3 linked regions of the Diceros bicornis minor genome follow. The protein of the gene in region 2 purifies or fractionates together with the protein of the main gene of each other region. This does not show direct contact. Links are inferred from orthologs where the notes say so. Each region holds a gene or a part of one and is shown on either strand. Other genes may lie near its edges. The genes, in order: MAU2, KPNA1 and NCBP1.

Evidence for each region.
Region 1: the proteins of KPNA1 (region 2) and MAU2 purify together in Homo sapiens (affinity purification with mass spectrometry; 3 studies listed by BioGRID and IntAct, with this or other methods). This does not show direct contact. The link is inferred for Diceros bicornis minor from reciprocal best matches to the Homo sapiens genes KPNA1 and MAU2.
Region 3: the proteins of KPNA1 (region 2) and NCBP1 purify together in Homo sapiens (co-immunoprecipitation; 3 studies listed by BioGRID and IntAct, with this or other methods). This does not show direct contact. The link is inferred for Diceros bicornis minor from reciprocal best matches to the Homo sapiens genes KPNA1 and NCBP1.

The regions. Positions count from the first base shown.
Region 1 is NC_080759.1:6,752,435-6,758,308, forward strand, and holds the start of MAU2 (MAU2 chromatid cohesion factor homolog), read left to right. Parts: upstream 1-3,007; 5' UTR 3,008-3,019; coding exon 3,020-3,310; intron 3,311-5,874. Other genes in the region: SUGP1 (SURP and G-patch domain-containing protein 1), read right to left, coding at 715-886, 2,623-2,656. UniProt on the Homo sapiens protein: Plays an important role in the loading of the cohesin complex on to DNA. Forms a heterodimeric complex (also known as cohesin loading complex) with NIPBL/SCC2 which mediates the loading of the cohesin complex onto chromatin.
Region 2 is NC_080754.1:23,341,994-23,347,867, reverse strand, and holds the start of KPNA1 (importin subunit alpha-5), read left to right. Parts: upstream 1-2,470; 5' UTR 2,471-2,620; intron 2,621-5,874. UniProt on the Homo sapiens protein: Functions in nuclear protein import as an adapter protein for nuclear receptor KPNB1. Binds specifically and directly to substrates containing either a simple or bipartite NLS motif.
Region 3 is NC_080767.1:7,924,744-7,930,617, forward strand, and holds the start of NCBP1 (nuclear cap-binding protein subunit 1), read left to right. Parts: upstream 1-2,191; 5' UTR 2,192-2,286; coding exon 2,287-2,320; intron 2,321-5,874. UniProt on the Homo sapiens protein: Component of the cap-binding complex (CBC), which binds cotranscriptionally to the 5'-cap of pre-mRNAs and is involved in various processes such as pre-mRNA splicing, translation regulation, nonsense-mediated mRNA decay, RNA-mediated gene silencing (RNAi) by microRNAs (miRNAs) and mRNA export.

The sequences.
Region 1 (5,874 bases), on a different chromosome or scaffold from region 2:
ACACTTCAGACCACAGAGGAAGGGGCCTGCCTCTCTGATTATCAATGTCCAGCCTGAAATTCTTGGATGCTGTCACTCTGATCACATCACCTGTGCTCAAAACTCTTGGGTGGCCTTAGCATTTCTCAGGACAGGCAGGAGGAAACCCTGCCTGAGCTACCTCCTGCCTACCTCCAGAACAGCCCCTTTGGTGCAGCAGCTCGGGCTGCTTGACACACAAGGGCTCCCTCCCCTTCCTGCCCTCTGCCAGGCAGGCCTTTCCCTGCTTCCTCAACGGGCTGGCTCTGCCTGGGCCTTCAGACTGTAAAGCTTCTTCTGCGCCCCTATGGTGGCCACTGCATCTGGGAACACACTGCTTTAAGTTACCCAGCAGCAGCTCTAGGGGTAGAACTGGCACCCCCTTTGCTAGCACACTGTGAACCAGTCAGAGTAAAAGCAGAGACAGAGTCTAGGTTTTTGCTTCATGCTACACCCCTAGTCCCTGGTCAGCAGTAAATAACTGCCAAGTGAAGGAGTTGGCAGGCCATTCTCTGGGCTCCCACACACCCCTTGTTTCTCTTCTGCCACACTACACCTCTTGAAAGAGAGCACCTGTGTCACTCCTTGCATTATCAGGCTGTGGCCAGGTGCAGGTACACCCTGACTGCTCTCACAAGCAAAACCCTCTGCCCGATGACCCTCTATGACCTCATTCCAGCCTCAGGGGGCACTCACTCGCCAGGATGCGGGGCTTGAGGGCTGGCCATCTGATTCTGCTTGGCTTTCTGCTCCATTTTGGCTTCAATTTCCCGTTTCTTCTGAGCAATGAGCTCTTCCTGATGAAGGATGTTCATGTTCATTTTTCCAGACTTGGGAGGAGCAACCCCAAACCACCGGTTAGCCTTTCCTGGGGAGGGAAAAGAAGCACATCAGAAATCACCTTCGCTCCACAAACATGCACAGCAGCAGCTACAGGAGCAGGCCAGTTGCTGCCTTGCAGCATCTCATATTCAGATTGACATTCATACATCCATTCATTTATTCAGCAAACATTTACCAAACTATGTACCAGGTGCTGTACTAGGTGCCAAACGAGAGAGACGGGGCCTCTGCCCATGTGGGACTCACCTCTAGCTGGGGAGACAATAGACTCATAACAAAAAAGTAGCTGCAAAATCATGATAAGAGCTCTCTGCTGAAAACCAAAAGGGGTGAGAAAGAATAGCAGCAGAGCGCCTATACAGCTAGGGCAGCCAGAAAATAACCATTAGAAGTGGGGACCTTTAAGCTAAAACCAGAAAGACAAAGAGCCAGCCTCCTGAAAAGCCAGATGGGGCACGATCTGGGCAAAGTAAGGAGCAAATGCAAAAACCCAAGGCTAGAAGAAGCCTGGAGCACCCAAGGACCAGCAAGGGTCCAGTGTGGCCAGAGTGGTCCACTCCAGGGATGCGCATGGCAGGGCACAATAGGGAGTCTGGGCTCTACTTTAAGAGCTTTAGGAGGCAACGGGGAAGTATTAAGCTAACAAGATCCAACTGGTATTTTTATTTTTAAGATTATTCTGGGTACTGATTGGAGAGAGTGCATAGGCAGCAAGGAGGCCAATGAGGAGGCTTGCTGGCTCCAAGCAAAAGACAATGTTGTCTTCAGACAAGGATGGTAGCTGTGGAGTTGAAGAAGACATCTTGAAGGTTCCCAGTGGCAATTCGAATAAAATCAAAATTCTGAAAGTTGCTTGTCAAGGCCCTTCCAGGGATGGTTCCCCTCCCCACTTCCATTTCATCCTTGACATTCTTCAAAATGACAAGCCCATCCCACCCCAAGGCATTTGCACTTGCTGTCCCTCCCTCTGCGTAGAAGGCTCTACCCTCCAGGCCTTCCCATAGCTGGCAAGTTCTCATCTCAAACGTCTTCTGCTCAAAGAGGCCTTCCTTGACCACCCAGTATCAGCAGACTCCACCCCCACTCTTTCAGATCATTAAAACCCTCTCTCTGTAAATATTTCCTCTTTGGTGCATTATGTGACACCCTAGCAGAAAATAACCTTTTCTACTAAACAGGGCACTGTTTTGGTTACCACTGCATCCCCAGCGCCTAGCACAGTGCCTGGCACACAGTGAGTATTTGCTGAATGCGTGAATGCATCCCAGCCTAGCGGGGCTAGGGCTGGGAGACAGGGAATGGCAAGCCTTGTAGTGAAGGAGGGGCTCGAAAGACCCAGGCAGATGCGTACAAGAAGTCCGAGAGCATTTCGGAAAAGCAGCTTTTCTAGAAAGCGGGACACTGGCCAGACGGCACCTGCTACAGAGAGGGGCGCGGGACAGCCCAAGGTTGCCGCTGTTTCGGGGAGCGGAGCTCAGGGCAGCCCTCAAGGCGGTTATTTCGGAAAGCGGGCGCAGGGAAGAGCCAGGTGGCGGCCTTTAGAGAGACCCGGGCGCCCTCAACACACCAGGCGGGGACAAGGGCAGCAACTGGGGTCTGGGGTCTCGGGAGACGGGGGAGGTGCAGAAGCCATCGCTTCGGGTCGCCCAAAGGCTTAGGCGAGGGGCCGGCGGGTTAGGGCAGGCCCGACAGGAGGGCAAAGCGGCGACACGGAGCCCAGAAGCCCCAAGCCAGCGCTTGAAGGGAGGTGTGGGCTATTACCTGCAACATCCCGGTTGTCCATCTTGAGACTCATCCAATCCCACAATCCTCCGGCGCCACCTGCGGTGGGAGGAAGGGCCAGTTATACTGCGCATGGCTTGATGGGAGATGTAGTCCGCGCCGGCCAGCCACGCCCCGCCACTGCATGGACACCTGGGGTCTTCCCCCCAGGAACGCAAACCTTGGCCAATCGGCAATGTCTAGTCTCAGTCCCGCAGACTAGAGGCCGTCGCCTTTTCTCATACCTTCCCGGAGCCGCGGCCCTCCAAAAACAAACTACATGTTCCGGGATGCTCTGTGCAACAGCTCTCGCGAGAGACGCGGGGTGCGCCCGGCCCCGCCCCGCGTGCCTGCTTCCGCCTCCCTGCGGCGGCGGCTTGTTGTTGTGGAGGCCAAAATGGCGGCGCAGGCGGCAGCTGCGGCTCAGGCGGCGGCGGCGGCGGCGGCGGCGGCTCAGGCAGCGCAGGCCGAGGCGGCCGAATCGTGGTACCTGGCGCTTCTGGGCTTCGCCGAGCACTTCCGCACTTCCAGCCCGCCCAAGATCCGCCTGTGCGTGCACTGCCTGCAGGCCGTGTTCCCCTTCAAGCCGCCGCAGCGCATCGAGGCCCGCACGCACCTGCAGCTCGGTTCCGTGCTTTACCACCACACCAAGAACAGCGAGCAGGCGCGCAGCCACTTGGAGAAAGCGGTGAGCGCGGGCCGGGCCGCGAGGAACGAGGCGGCGCGGGCTCCTTGTGGGGCCGCCTGTGTTCACGGGCTGCGACCCCCGGCGGGCGGGGGCGCCCAGGCCGGTCCTCGGGGACCCGGGGCGCGACCTCTGCGCGGACAGCGGGACGCGAAGCCGCCTGCCTCTCAGGGAATCCGAGCGCCTTGTCTCGCATCTTAGTTAACGTGTTTGGTGACAGGCAGAGCCCCGCCCAGGTTGCTCCGCGAGTTGCCTCTTCTCAGGACCAACAGGCCCAAATTCTTCAGGTTTTCAGGAGGATATCAACAGGAGGATGCCTGTTGGCTCCTGTGGGAACGCCCCAGTTCGGCCAGTGGGTCCTGCAGCTTCCAGCTCCTCAGGGCTCAGCCCTGGGAGCATCAGCCTGAACGCTCTCTCCTGAAGTGACTGGGGATAGGGGAACCATCCTTTGGGAATCTGAAGCTTGGTCTCTCAGGAAACCTAGGAAGGTGTAACCTTCCTGGACCCATAAGTCTCATAAGGGTCTGGAGGGTTTTGTACCGCTATCAGTAATGCGGAGTGTCATAGATGGGAGGCAGAGACCTAGAGTTGGTGATTTGAAGTCCTATAAAGAGGTGGAACTGAGTCGGGGGTTGGGGGGGGGGTCTGGATTCCAGGACCAGTTGCTCAGTAGGGGCTGAAGGAGGCGGGGATCTCACAGCTTCTACTTTCTCTGTATCCACCAGTGACTTCTTTTCCTGCCACCATCCACCAGTCCATCCCCTTCAAGGGGCAGGCCCCATCCCCCCATCTTGACTTGTGGGATCTAAGTATTCCAAGGAAGGTGGGAAAGTGGCTGTTTTTCTGGCTGTGGAGTGGTTTCTTCTCGCAGCAACACTGCACTCCTGGCAGATCACGCCTCCATTTCCCATTTACCTAACTTTAGTCTACTTAAAGGACAGACTTTTTTTTTTTTTCTTTAGATTTTGTGTGTGTGTGTGTGAAAAGGACTAGCCCTGAGCTAACATCCGATGCCAATCCTCCCCTTTTTTCTTGAGGAAGATTGGCCCTGAGCTAACATCCGTGCCCATCTTCCTCTGCTTTTTTTTTAAATTTTTTTTTGTGAGGAAGATCAGCCCTGAGCTAACATCTGATGCCAGTCCTCTTTTTTCTGAGACTGGCCCTGAGCTAACATCTGTGCCCATCTTCCTCTACTTTATATGGGACGCTGCCACAGTATGGCTTAACAAGCGGTGTGTTGGTGCGCGCCCGGGACCCAAACCTGCGAACCCCGGGCTGCCGAAGCGGAGTGCATGCACTTAACTGCTTGCACCACCGGGCCAGCCCCAAGGAGAGACTTCTTGAATAGAATCAACTGAGATTTTTAGTTTATTGTTCTGAGGTGAATCTGAACCTACACATGGCTAGTAACAAGTTGCCCCTGGAAGATATCAAATCTTTGTTTTGTTGAGGGGACTTTAGTCCTTGCTCGATCAACTTCCTTGTTTCAGGAGTGAGGCAGAATGGGCCCAGACAGGTGAAGTGATTTGCCCAAAGCCACACAACGTTATTAACAAAACTGGGCTCAAACCTAGGCTCAGGATCACCAGGTTCCATCCCAAGACAATAAGTCACTATTGTTTTCGTGAAGCTTTTTTCTTTCATTCATTCAGCAGACGTTTATTCAGCTCACACCAGGTGCCAAGCCCTATTCTAGGTGCTCGGGATCAGTGATGACTAAAACAGTCCTCACCCGCTTAAGCTTATGTTTTAGTGAAGGAGACAGACAATGAATATCTAGTAAAAGGTTAGGCTGTGGTATAAGAACCATAAAAAATATGGACCAGGGAGAAGGGATGGAGTTGACAGAGAGGTATTTTTGGCAGAGGTAGTGAGGGAGTCTATTTGTGGGTGTGACGTTTGAGTAGAGGCCTAAATGGGAGGGAGGAGCAAGCCTGGAGAACTGCTCAGGGTGTCAGGTTGATCCCAAGGAGTGCCTGACCTGTCAATGAGCAGTTGGTGTCAGGGTCTCCTGCGGTGGGGGGAGGATATATGGGATGGGGCATGGAATTTAGCCTGTTTCTACCAGTGGTTCACAGTTGCTGTGTCGTTGTCACATTTTGCCTGCTCAGTGCTGTTGAGTGGAAGAAGCCATGCCTCAGATTTCTTCCCTGTAGTTGCTTGGCTTTTGGACCCATGATTTAAATCGTTATCCTTGCAAAGTGCCTTCCCTCGATTTTACAGAACCCTGAAACTTGTGGGGACTTACACAGAGCCACAGGGTCCCCTCCATAGCTCACACTGACATTCCACCAGGAAATCCCTTTCTTTCTGTCTGTTGCATCCCCACCGGGGAATTTGTCCAGATTTCAACTCAAGTGTCGTTCTCTGTGCTGTTTTCCTTCTGCAGTTCTTTGTGATCTCCTTTTGGGTTGCAATGCAAGCATGCTTTCTTTAATCTTCATTCTTTATCAGTTGTGCATCTTTCCCAAATCAGGCAGCTATCAACTTTTATTCTTTCCTTTCCCAGCTCAATAAAGAATCGTAATATGTTCTCCTTTTAGAAATGGTTTGCTAGTTTCTAGCGC
Region 2 (5,874 bases):
TTTAAGTAACAGCATTTATGCAACAGAAGAGAAATACAACATGTGTATAATTACTATATATTATTATTTTCACACCCATCAGACTGGCAAAAATAAAAAAAGTCAAATATTTCCAAACGTTTGCAAGGATGTTTAGAAAACAGAATCTTATACGTTGCTTGTGGAGTATAAACTGATACACTATTTCGCTTTGTCATATAACTCAGCAATATCTAGTATATTAGTTTTCTAATGCTATGTAAAAAATTACCAGAAACCTTGTGGCTTAAAACACATTTATTATCTCACAATTTCTGTGGGCCAGGAGTCCAGGCACAGCTTATCTGGTTTCTCTGCTCAGGGTCTCATAAAGCTGCAACCAAGGTATAAGTCAGTCTGTTTTCACACCTGGAGGCTTGACTGGGGAAGAGTCGGCTTCCAAGCTCTCTCAGGTTGTTGGCAGAACTCATTTCCTCGCAGTTGTAGGACTGAGGGGCCTGGCTTCTTACTGGCTGTCAGCTGGAGGCTGCACTCGGGTCCTAGAAGCCATCTGCAGTTCCCTGCCATGTGGCCCTCTCCATAGGCAGTTCACAACATGACGGTTCACTTCTTCAAGGCCAGCAGGAGAGTGTCTAGCTCTGGTCTGCTAAGATAGAGACATAAAGGGAAATGTAATAAAAGGAGTGACACCCCATCGTCTTTGCCATATTTTATTGACTCCAGAGGTAGGCATTATACAGGGCAACACCAGGGGCCAAAGATCATGGGGGCGATCTCAGAATTCTGCCTACCACATCTAGTAAAATTAAAGATGCAATGTCCTAGGATCTAGCAGTTTCCTTATACACATGAAGATACGTACAAGAATGTTCATAGCAGCATTGCTTGTAACAGAAAAACTATTGTTCTATAATTTTTAAATTTTTCAAAATACAAAAAGATATAGTCAGAGAGACATTAGCTAATAAAACACGATGTGTGGTATAACACTTTTGTCAAAGTAACATGTATATAGGAATTCTTCTCCAGCAACTGTTGTTGTCTTGAACAAATCCTACCGCCACTGAGAACAACTGGACAAAATATAAAAAACATTAAGGCATTAACGAGCTACCATGGCAGTGAGAACTTGTGGGTCCAAGATCTGGAAGAAAAGGGAAGCCATGAGAGGCGAGCCTGATGGTTGCCATCACTTTTCCACCGGAGGTGATTGCTAATTCTGAAAGCAGTGGCTGAAAAACCGAGGTCTCAGGATGTTGAGGAGGCCCAGCCATAGAGGAGAGGCCCTAGTAAATACTCCACACTTTTGGTTGGGACTCTCAAGGCCTACCCTCGCTAGGACTAAGGGTGAACTGGAAATAAACTAGCTTTCACAAAGACTTAAACTCTGAAGAAAGAGAGTCCAACTCTGAGTAATTTTAGCTTCTGATTGGGATAAAGTGATCTGTCCTCAATTTAGCTGTGGTCAGGCATACTTGCTCCTAAGTCCCCGCCTTAGAACACCTTCCCTTTCTCCAGCCCCTTTGCTCAAACTCACCTCTCACCCTAGTCAACACAACATCAGTGGGGAATACTGATGGAGCCGAAAGAGCTCCAGGACAAATGAACATGGCATAGCCCAGGATTCCGCTAGCGTGGTCCTCTCTCCCGCATTTATAAATGTATTACTCGACCTCCTCTCTTTCGCCTTGCTTCCTGGTGGGTGTTTTAAATCAATCTGATATCCCATGTCACTCGTGAGACTTTCTATTCCCCGACCTTTGCTTGGCTGGCTTCGGTCTTTCTTCTTTTGAAGCCACTGCTCAAAAAGAAATTCCCCAAAAAGAATTTTTTCAAACTTAGCAGTAACAATGATTTGCCCCAAGTCTTCGTTTGAGAGCATTTAGTGAGAGTTAAAGCAAGTATTTGCGTTTCACTTAATTTCTTAGTGATTTCTGATGCTCCTCATACATTATCAGGCAAAGGGGATGGGAGAGAACTAAAAGAAGGAATACCCAGAAGCTTCCTCAAACGTGCTGCATGTGAATGCCTTAGACATGAGGCGCCGACTTTTAAGACGTTTGTAATACTCCCTCAGCCTTCCTTCGTTTCACCATTCATTCAGCAAACGTGGCTTAAATATCAACCAAGTTAGAGGCTAGCTATAGATAGAGGCGAGAGAAGATCCGTCGGCCCTGGAAGAGCTTCGAAGACAGGTTTGTAGACATAACTTTGCAATTTAACCTAAGAAGTACCGTTTCACTGTCACTCCACCACGATTCTCCGACCTCGGCCATTGACTGCGAACCTCCTCCTCAGCGGGACCTGCTCCCTGACCTCCGACTCCGCACAGACTCGAGGCTAACCTCAAGGCTTCTAGAGGACGACGGTTGGGAGACTACGCCTCCCGGCAGCCTCTGCAGCAGGGTGGTGGAGGGGCGCGCGCAGGCGCCTGGGCCGGTCCCCGCGCGCAGGCGCCCTGCGAACGCCGGCTGAGCTGGGTCTGGCTGCTGGGTGCGCGGCGGCGAGAGTGAGGCCTGGAGAGCACCGCCGCGGCGCGGGTCGGCTCTTCGAGGTTGTGCGCGGGAGGGGTACGGCGGGCAGACGAGCGAGCAAGCGGCTCCCCCCAGCAGAGGCACCGGGATCGGTTGCCTTGACCCTGGTGAGTGCGGGGGCCCCGCGGCCCGGCCCCTCCCCCTCCCTCCGGCGGCTCGGTAGTCCTCGGCGGGACCCGGGAGAGGCCCCGGGGCAAGGGCGGGCGCCGGGGGCGCTCCAGCTCGGGTACCTGGGCCGGGGCGCCCACGGCGCGTCCGTGCGTCACGGGCCCAGCTGTCCTAACGGCCGCGCGGCCAGCGGAGGGGAAGGTGGGGGCGGGGAGCGCCTGTGCGAGGGCCATAGCGAGCGCCGGTCGAGGCGGGGCGGGGCGGCGGCGGGGTTGGACGCGGCGCCGGGGACTGCGGGGCGCCGAGGCAGCGGGGCGGAGAGGAGGCGAGCGCGGAGCCTGCGCCGCGGCCCGGCGCGAGCGGGCGGGGGTGGGCAGCGCGGAGCGCCGTGACTGGGGCAGGGAAGAGCAGGGGGGGCGTGTAAGAATCCTGACCGAGGCGGGAAGGGACCACCTTGGGAATTCACAAGTTGCGGCCCGAGTCCGAGCCGGGGGCTGGGGGGGGCGGGGTGGAGACGGACGACTGCAGTTTACAGATGTCATAACAACATGGGCCCGAAGCGGCTGACGGGGTGTGGTAATTATAGGAATGACAGAACTTCGTCTGCACACAGCGTGTGTAAGTGGTGATGCGAGGGGAACAGCGAAGTATTAGATGAAGCTCAAAATGGGAGGAGAAAACTGGAGGATGACTGGAGTCCGGGAGGTCGGCACGAAGGAGTGTTTTAGGTTTGAATGGGAGTGTTTAATGTTCCACGTTTAAGTGAAAGATTTCAAAATAATTGATTTTCAAGGTTTACATTCAGAATAAGCAATTTTGAAGTGTTTTTTCTAAAACATGCTATTAAATAATATTACTGACTTTTTCAGTATTTTTTTTCCTTTAATAAACAGTTTCTTCACAACTCCTATTTCTTAGCAGTAGATGAGTAAGTGGTTTTTTTCCCCGCTCTTGTTTCAACGCTGACTCTTGACGTTGTTTTTTCCTTAACTTGTTCTTGTATTTGTAATATTTTGAAAGTAATCCACGTTATTCCCCCTTCATTTTAAAGATTGAAGAGATGAAAGTGATTATGAAATCGATTATATTTTTACTGAAATAATTTATTCTTGAAAGGCACTGTTTTATGTGTAATGTGTGATTTTAAGATGGAGGACGTGAGAGAAAGTAAACGAATTAACATTTATTGAGCTCCTTTCCAGGTATTGTGCTCAATACTTGACGTATATTAAAACATTTAATGCTGACAGTAACTCGGAAGTAGATGTTAATTTTTCCTGTTCTACAGATGAAAACTTTCAAGGTCAGAGAAGTAACTTACCTGAGGTCATCCAGCCCTTGTTGGAACCAGCCTTCGAACCCAAAGTCACTGCCATTCTAAGAATGATTTCTCCTCTCCTTTTATATTTCTTGATGGTGTTTTCTTTCTTTAATCCACTCGTTCAATGAACAATTATGGAGTGATCATGTGCCCTGAGACTGGGGATATGGACGTGATCAAGACACTGTTCCTGTCCTCATGGAATTTATAGTGTAGGGGGAGACTAACAAAGAAAATAAATATTGACTGCATGACATTTTATCAGTCATTATGTTTGTTTATTGAGCAGAAACTATAAAGTACTAAGTAGCAAAGGAAGTTAAAATGGAATCAGACAACATAAGCCTTGAGGAGTTTACAATCTAGTAGGGAAACAAAACATACATTTATAAAAAGCTAGAATAAACTAAATGACCGACATAAATGCCTCACCTGAAGTCACTGTACTGCATTATGTTACTTTAGGTCCTCACAGAAGTTTCTCCACAGAACTAGGATTTAATATTGCACCTTGACTTTTTTTTAATTTTTATTTTTTGTTTATTGCAGTAACATTGGTTTATAACATTGTATAAATTTCAGGTGTACATCATTATACTTATATTTCTGCATAGATTACATCATGTTCACCACCCAAATACTAATTACAACCCATCACCACACACATGTGCCAAATTATCCCTTTCGCCCTCCTCCCTCCCCCCTTCCCCTCTGGTAACCACCAATCCAATCTCTGTCTCTATGTTTGTTTATTGTTGTTATTAGCTACTACTTAATGAGGGAGATCATATGGTATTGGACCTTCTCCCTCTGACTTATTTCACTTTGCATAATACCCTCAATGTGCATCCATGTTGTCACAAATGGCTGGATTTCATCGTTTCTTATGGCTGAGTAGTATTCCATTGTGTATATATACCACATCTTCCTTATCCATTCGTCCCTTGATGGGCACTTAGGTTGCTTCCAAGTCTTGGCTACTGTGAATAACGCGGCAGTGAACACAGGGGTGCATGTATCTTTACGCATTGGTGTTTTCAAGTTCTTTGGATAAATACCCAGCAGTGGAATAGCTGGATCATATGGTAGTTCTATCCTTAATTTTTTGAGGAATCTCCATACTGTTTTCCATAGTGGCTGCACCAGTTTGCACTCCCACCAGCAGTGTATGAGTTCCCTTCTCTCCACATCCTCTCCAACACTTGTTGTTTCCTGTCTTGTTAATTATAGCCATTCTGACAGGCATGAGGTGATATCTCATTGTAGTTTTGATTGGCATTTCTCTGATAGTTAACGATGTTGAGCATCTTTTCATGTGCCTGTTGGCCATTGCACCTTGACTTTTATCTAGGATTGGTACATAGGAAAAGGCAACATGAAAAAAAATCTTCATTGCTACCCAAGACACTGTTTCTTATTTATCGATTCTTAATAAAGTAGAGACTCTAGAGACAGATTCTTTTTAAGACCCCATGATAGCCTTTTTCTTTTTTTTTTAAACAAATGACTGCTTTTATTAGATCTTTTGTGTTTTGTAAGCTATCTTGTTTCTCTTTACACTTTGGCTGACAGGAGGCTCAGAGCTGTGTCCAATTTTTGTAATTTTCCTTAGCCTCACCTATGTTATAAATTATACCAGGTAGTCTGGGATTGCTCTCAGTTGTTTCCTGGACTATTTTCTTTGTTCTCTGTTGCTCTTGATGTTGTTTTTACCTTTTCCCTTTCATTTGAGAGTAGAGATTATATCTTATTCTTTTTATCTCCAGTGTTTTAGCATAGTGTTTGTTGAGTTAATGATAAAGTCTTGATTTATGATGTTTGTGTGCTTAAGCCTGTCAGATTGTTTTTAGAAGTATATGTGAATACTTTGTATAAAATTAATTAAGACTTTTGGCCATGTAAATAAAGATGACTGTCCTAGTGATAGAGATA
Region 3 (5,874 bases), on a different chromosome or scaffold from region 2:
AAAATGACCTCCCCTCATTCTAAATCCTTTTTCAGTTCTCACTTTAATTTATTTATATATTCTTAACTATTACTTGTGGAAACTTTGCTATGTGCCTGACACAGAGAATAGTGCTGTGGAGGCAGGTCTTCAAAGAAACAGTTAAGGTCTCTGCTCTCTTTATATTCTAGTCAGAGAAGACAGACTCTAAATAAGTAAACATAAGAAATACATTCACATGAGACCACTTTGCACCACTTTCACTAGCAACCTGGTTCAAGCACCATCATTTCTTTTTTTTTTTTTTTTTATATATAGTGTGTGTGTGAGGAAGATTAGCCCTGAGCTAACATCTGTTGCCAATCCTCCTCTTTTTGCTGATGAAGATTGGCCCTGAGCTAACATCTGTGCCCATCCTCCATTTTATGTGGGACGCTGCCACAGCATGGCTTGATAAGCGGTGCAGTGGTCCACGCCCGGGATCCGAACCCTCAAACCCCGGTCAACCAAAGCAGAGTGTGCGAACCTAACCACTACACCACCTGGCTGGCCCAAGCACTATCATTTCTTGGCTGAGTTATTGCAGTAGCCTAACTGCCCTCCTCCTCTAAGAGCAAGAGAGGTAACTCTTAAAAAGTAAGTCAGATCACCCTCCAGAGGCTTCTCAACTTAAAGTCCAAGGTCCTTACAGAGCCCCTCCCGCACCTCTCTAATCTCATCTTCTACTCCTCTCCCTTGGCTCACACCTCTGATTGCACCGTGTCCCCATTCCTCAACGGGTCACCAGCACCAGGAAAGCAAGGATTTTCTTTGTTCACCTCTGCATCCTCAGCATCTAGAACACTGCCTGGCACATAGGAGGTGCTAAATGTTAATAAATACGATATTTGTTGAATGAAATAAAACAGTGATTGCGTAGCCAGGGAAGGCTTCACGAAGGACCTGACGTTTGAGCTGAGACCTAAATGTCAAGGAGGCATCCTACGCAGATTTAGGAGCAGAGATCTTTAGGCAAAGGAAACAGTATAAATTCCTAAAGTGGGAATTTTAAGCTTGACTCATTGGAAGAACAAGAAGAGTGGCTGGAGTATACTGATGACAGAGCAGAACCCTGTAAGTCAGGGTATGGCGTTTGCCATGGAAAGTCATCCGAGAGTTGTAAACAGAGGAGTAACGTGGTCTGACTCTGGATTTGTTTTGAAAGCAGAACCGGCAGGGTTTACAGATACACTGTTATGTAGGAAACGAAGGAAAAGGAGGACCCAAGAATGACTCCTACCTACACTTTGAACTAAGCAATCGGATAGATGGTGCCATTTACTGAAATGGGTAAGACTGAAGGAGGCACACTTAGGCCAGGAGAGCGACACAAGAGTTCCATGTTAGACCTGCGACATCTCAGACAGATAAGCAGGTGTGCTGCTCCTCGGAGACGTCGGGGCAGGGGGTGCTCACATACACGTACGCAGGTACCCAATAACCACTGCAAACATTACTAAAACAGCCACCTGTTCCTTCCTAGACAACAACCCGGAGGGGACGCGGAGCAGCGGGCTCACGCCGGGGCGGGTCTTGCCGTCCCAGGGGCGGCTCGTGCGGCGCCGCCTCCCGAGCAGGCCCCACCCCGCGCGCCGGGCGGACCCAAGCTCTCCGCGCCGCTTTCCCGAGGAGGCAAAGGCCCGGAAGTGGGAGGAAGAGGAGCACGTACCCGCCGGGCCTGATCCTCTCTTATATCTTTCTTCACTGAACCGTCTCCACCTAGCAATTGTCGCCGCTCACCGCCCTGGAACCCCGGCCCCCGCCTGGTCTTTACGAAGGAAGGGACGCTCCGACGTCACCTCGCTCCGGAAGTCCTCGAGGACGTTGGCGAAAGGGCCGCTGGGAAAGGCACTGCGAGGCCCCAAGGAGAGTCTGAGGTTGAGGCGGGGCCTGGAGCGTCCCTCCTAGACCAGCCGCCTCCAGGCGTGGCTCGTGGCCAGCGGGCTCTGGCACCGGAAGGACTTAGAGCGAAAGGCGGGAGAAGGAGGCAGCCGAGAGGCGGAGGAAGCCCGAGGGGGCGGTTGCGTGCGGGTCCCAGACGCACGCGGCCTGGTGAGCTCTCAGACGCCGGCCCTCCGCGATCCGAGCCCGCTGAGCCCACCCAGCCGCCTCTCCTCCTTGCGCTTCCGGGGGCCGTCGCGAGCTAGTGCGCCTGCGCGCCGGCCACTCCGCGCTCCGCGCCGCTGTCTTCGCGCCGGCCGGCGGCCCAACGCTTCCTGCCGCGCTTCCCCCCCGGCGTCTCGGCTCGGCAGCGCACCGGCGTGCGGCATGTCGCGGCGGCGGCACAGCGACGAGAACGACGGTGAGTGTCCGGCCCGGCCGCCGAGGCCGCGCCCGGGGGGGCCCGGGTTGGGCTTCCTGGGTCTTCGGGTCTCAGCGAAGGGACGGGAAGCCCTTCGCCCCGGGAGCGTTCGGGGAGCCACAGAGGGAAGGAGGGTGGCACAGCGAGTGTGGCCGGGCGACCCCCGGAAAGCCCCTGCTTCCCCCGCCCCAGCTCCTTTAGCCGTCGGCGGAAAGGAGGCCTGGTGGCCCCCTGGTCTCTAAGGACTTCAGGATTTGGTCCTTAGCATCGCCGAGAGGGGAGGTATACCTGTGTCTGTGCGGCCGCCTCTCAGGGACAGTGACAGGAACCCGCTAGTCCCGGTGTCTCCTTTTGACCCTCAAACTGCCCCTGAAGAGGGTTCTCGGAAGAGTCCTGAAGGAAAGGGACAAAGCCGGGACTGAGAGATCTGAAGAATCACAGCCTGAGGTTTGCCCCTGTCTCGGTCATTTGCCTCCTTTCAAGCTGCAGGGAAAGAAATCTGTCTCTTACCCACACCCAAGAGGTCACTCACTAATAAACAGATGCATGTTGTTAGGTTTGGAACTGGCCATAAGCGTATTTCCCTCGTGTAAGAAAGAGTGCTGGAAAACTAACTGGAGAGCTCTTAGAGATTTAGCTCACGGGTTCCCATCTCCATTTGGAGGGTTGATCTCATGTCCCCATGATGTTGTCGTCATAAAAACGAAGAATAATTTTGCTAGTTAAAAATTGAAAAAGATACTTAAATTACAAAAATCGGTCAGGAATACACACCCACCAAAAAAAAAAAAAGAAGAAGAAACTAAGAGTAATTCTGTTATTAATGTTTTAGTGTATTGTTCTTTGAAAAGAGTGTACTGTAGTGGTTAAAAGGCCAGACTTTGGAATCAGAGGGTTTAAGTTCAAAGCTAGACCCCACCATTTACTTTGTGATCTTGCCTGGGTTATACCACCTTTTAAACCTTAGTGTGTAATAATGTTTATCATCTGTTAATGCTTAAGATGTGGTAAACATTGGCAGATGTCAGTGATGTAAGAAAAAATATGGAGTAAAAATTTTTAGTTGAATTAATTCTCTGCACTAACATTTTTGTCTCCTTGAATATTGGGGCAGTTGAGGGTAGGGGCAGAATCACGTGTATTTAGTTTTAACAATGAAACATCAGATTTCTGCTGGAGTGTGGTTTGATAGGATATTCTAGTCCAGCCTTCTCATCTGACACCTAAAGTTTTGGAGTGTTAGTGTATGGGCTAAACATACATAGTGTATGCGCCAAGGCCTACAGTGGAGATGTTGCACGTTCAGTTCCAGACCACCGCGGTAAAGCAAGTCACACAAACTTTTTGGTTTCCCAGTGCATGTAAAAGTTATATTTACACTATACTGTAGTTTATTAAGTGTGCAGTAGCATTGTATCCAAAGAAACACAATGTACATACCTTAATTAAAAAATAATTTATTGCTAAAAAATGCTAACCATCATCTGAGCCTTCAGCGAGTCATCATCTTTTTGCTGGTGGAGGGTCTTGCCTTGATGTTGGTGGCTGCTGTCTGATTAGGGTGATGGTTGCTCGAGGTTGGAGTGGCTGTGGCAACTGCTTAAAATAAGACAACAGTGAAGTTTGCCACATCAGTTGACTCTTCCTTTCATGAATGATTTCTCTGTAGCATATGATGCTATTTGATAGCATTTTACCCACAGCAGAACTTCTTTCAAAATTGGAGTCAATCCTCTCAAACCCTGCTTTATCACCTGTTGATGTAATGTTCTAAATCTTTTGCTGTCATTTCAACAGTCTTCACAGCATCTTCACCAGGAGTAGATTCCATCTCAAGAAACCACTTTTTTTGCTTATCTATAAGAAGCAACTCTTCATCTGTTCAAGTTTTATCATGAGATTGCAGCAATTCAGTCACATCTTCAGGCTCCACTTCTAATTCTAGTCCTCGTGTTATTTCCACCATATCTGCAGTTACTTCCTCCAGTTAAGCCTTTAACTCCTCAAAGTCATCCATGAGGGTTGGAATCAACTTCTTCCAAACTCCTGTTAACGTTGGTATTTTGACTTCTTCCCACGAATCACAAATGTTCTTAATGGCATCTAGAATGGTGAATCCTTTCCAGAGATTTTCAGTTTACTTTGCCCTGATCCATCCAGGAATCACTATTTATCACAGCTGTAGCTGTATGAAATATATTTCTTAAATAATAAGACTTGACAGTTGAAATTATTCCTTGATGCAGGGGCTGCAGAATGGATGCTGTGTTAGCAGGCATGAAAACAGCATTAATCGTGTTGTACATCTCCATCAGCACACTTGGGTGACCAGGTGCATTGTCAGTGAGCAATAATATTTGGAAAAGAATCTTCTTTTCTGAGTAGTACGTCAACGTTGGTCTTAAAATGTTCACTAAACCATGCTGTAAACAGATTTGCTGTCATCCTGACTTTGTTGTTCCGTTTATAGAGCACAGGCAGGGTAGATTTAGCATAATTCTTAAGAGCCCTGACTTTTGGAATGGTAAATGAGCATTGGTTTCAACTTAAAGTTACCAGCTACATTAGCCCCTATCAAGAGCATCAGCCTCTCTCTCTTTTTTTTTTTTTGGTGAGGAAGATTAGCCCTGAGCTAACATCCATTGCCAATCCTCCTCTTTTTGCTGAGGAAGGTTGGCCCTGTGCTAACATCTGTGCCCATCTTCCTCTACTTTATATGTGGGATGCCTGCCACAGCATGGCTTGACAAGTGGTGCATAGGTCTGCATCTGGGACCCGAACCTGCAAACATTGGGCTGCCGAAGCAGAGCATGCGAACTTAACCACTGTGCCACTGGGCTGGCCCCTCAGCCTCTCCTTTGAAGCCTTGAAGCCAGGCATTGACTTCTCTCTAGCTACAAAAGTCCTAGATGGCATCTTCTTCCAACATAAGGCTGTTTCATTTACATTGAAAATCCGCTGTTTAGTGTAGCCACCTTCATTAATCATCTTAGCTAGATCTTCTGGATGACTTGCTGCAGCTTCTACATCAGCACTTGCTGCTTCACCTTGCATTTTTATGTTATGGAGGTGGTTTCTTTCCTAAACCTCATGAACCAACCTCTGCTAGCTTCACACTTCTGCAGCTTCCTGACCTCTCTCAGGCTTCCTAGAATTGAAGAGAGTTAGGTCCTTGTCTGGATTAGATTTTGGCTTAAGGGAACTTGGTGGCTGGTTTGATCTTCTATCCAGACCACTAAAACTTCCTCCATATCAGCAGTAAGCCTGTTATGCTTTCTTATCATTCGTGTGTTCACTGGAGTAGCACTTGTAATTTCCTTCAAGAACTTTTCCTCTGCATTCACAACTTGGGTAATGATTTGGCACAAGAGTCCTAGCTTTCAGCCTATCTCGGCTTTTGACATGCCTTCCTCACTAAGCTTAATCATTTCTAGCTTTTGATTTAAAGTAAGAGACATACGAGTCTTCCTTTCACTTGAATACTTAGAGGCCATAGTAGGGTTATTAATTCGCCTAATTTCAATATTGTGTCTCAGAGAATAGGGAGGCCTGAG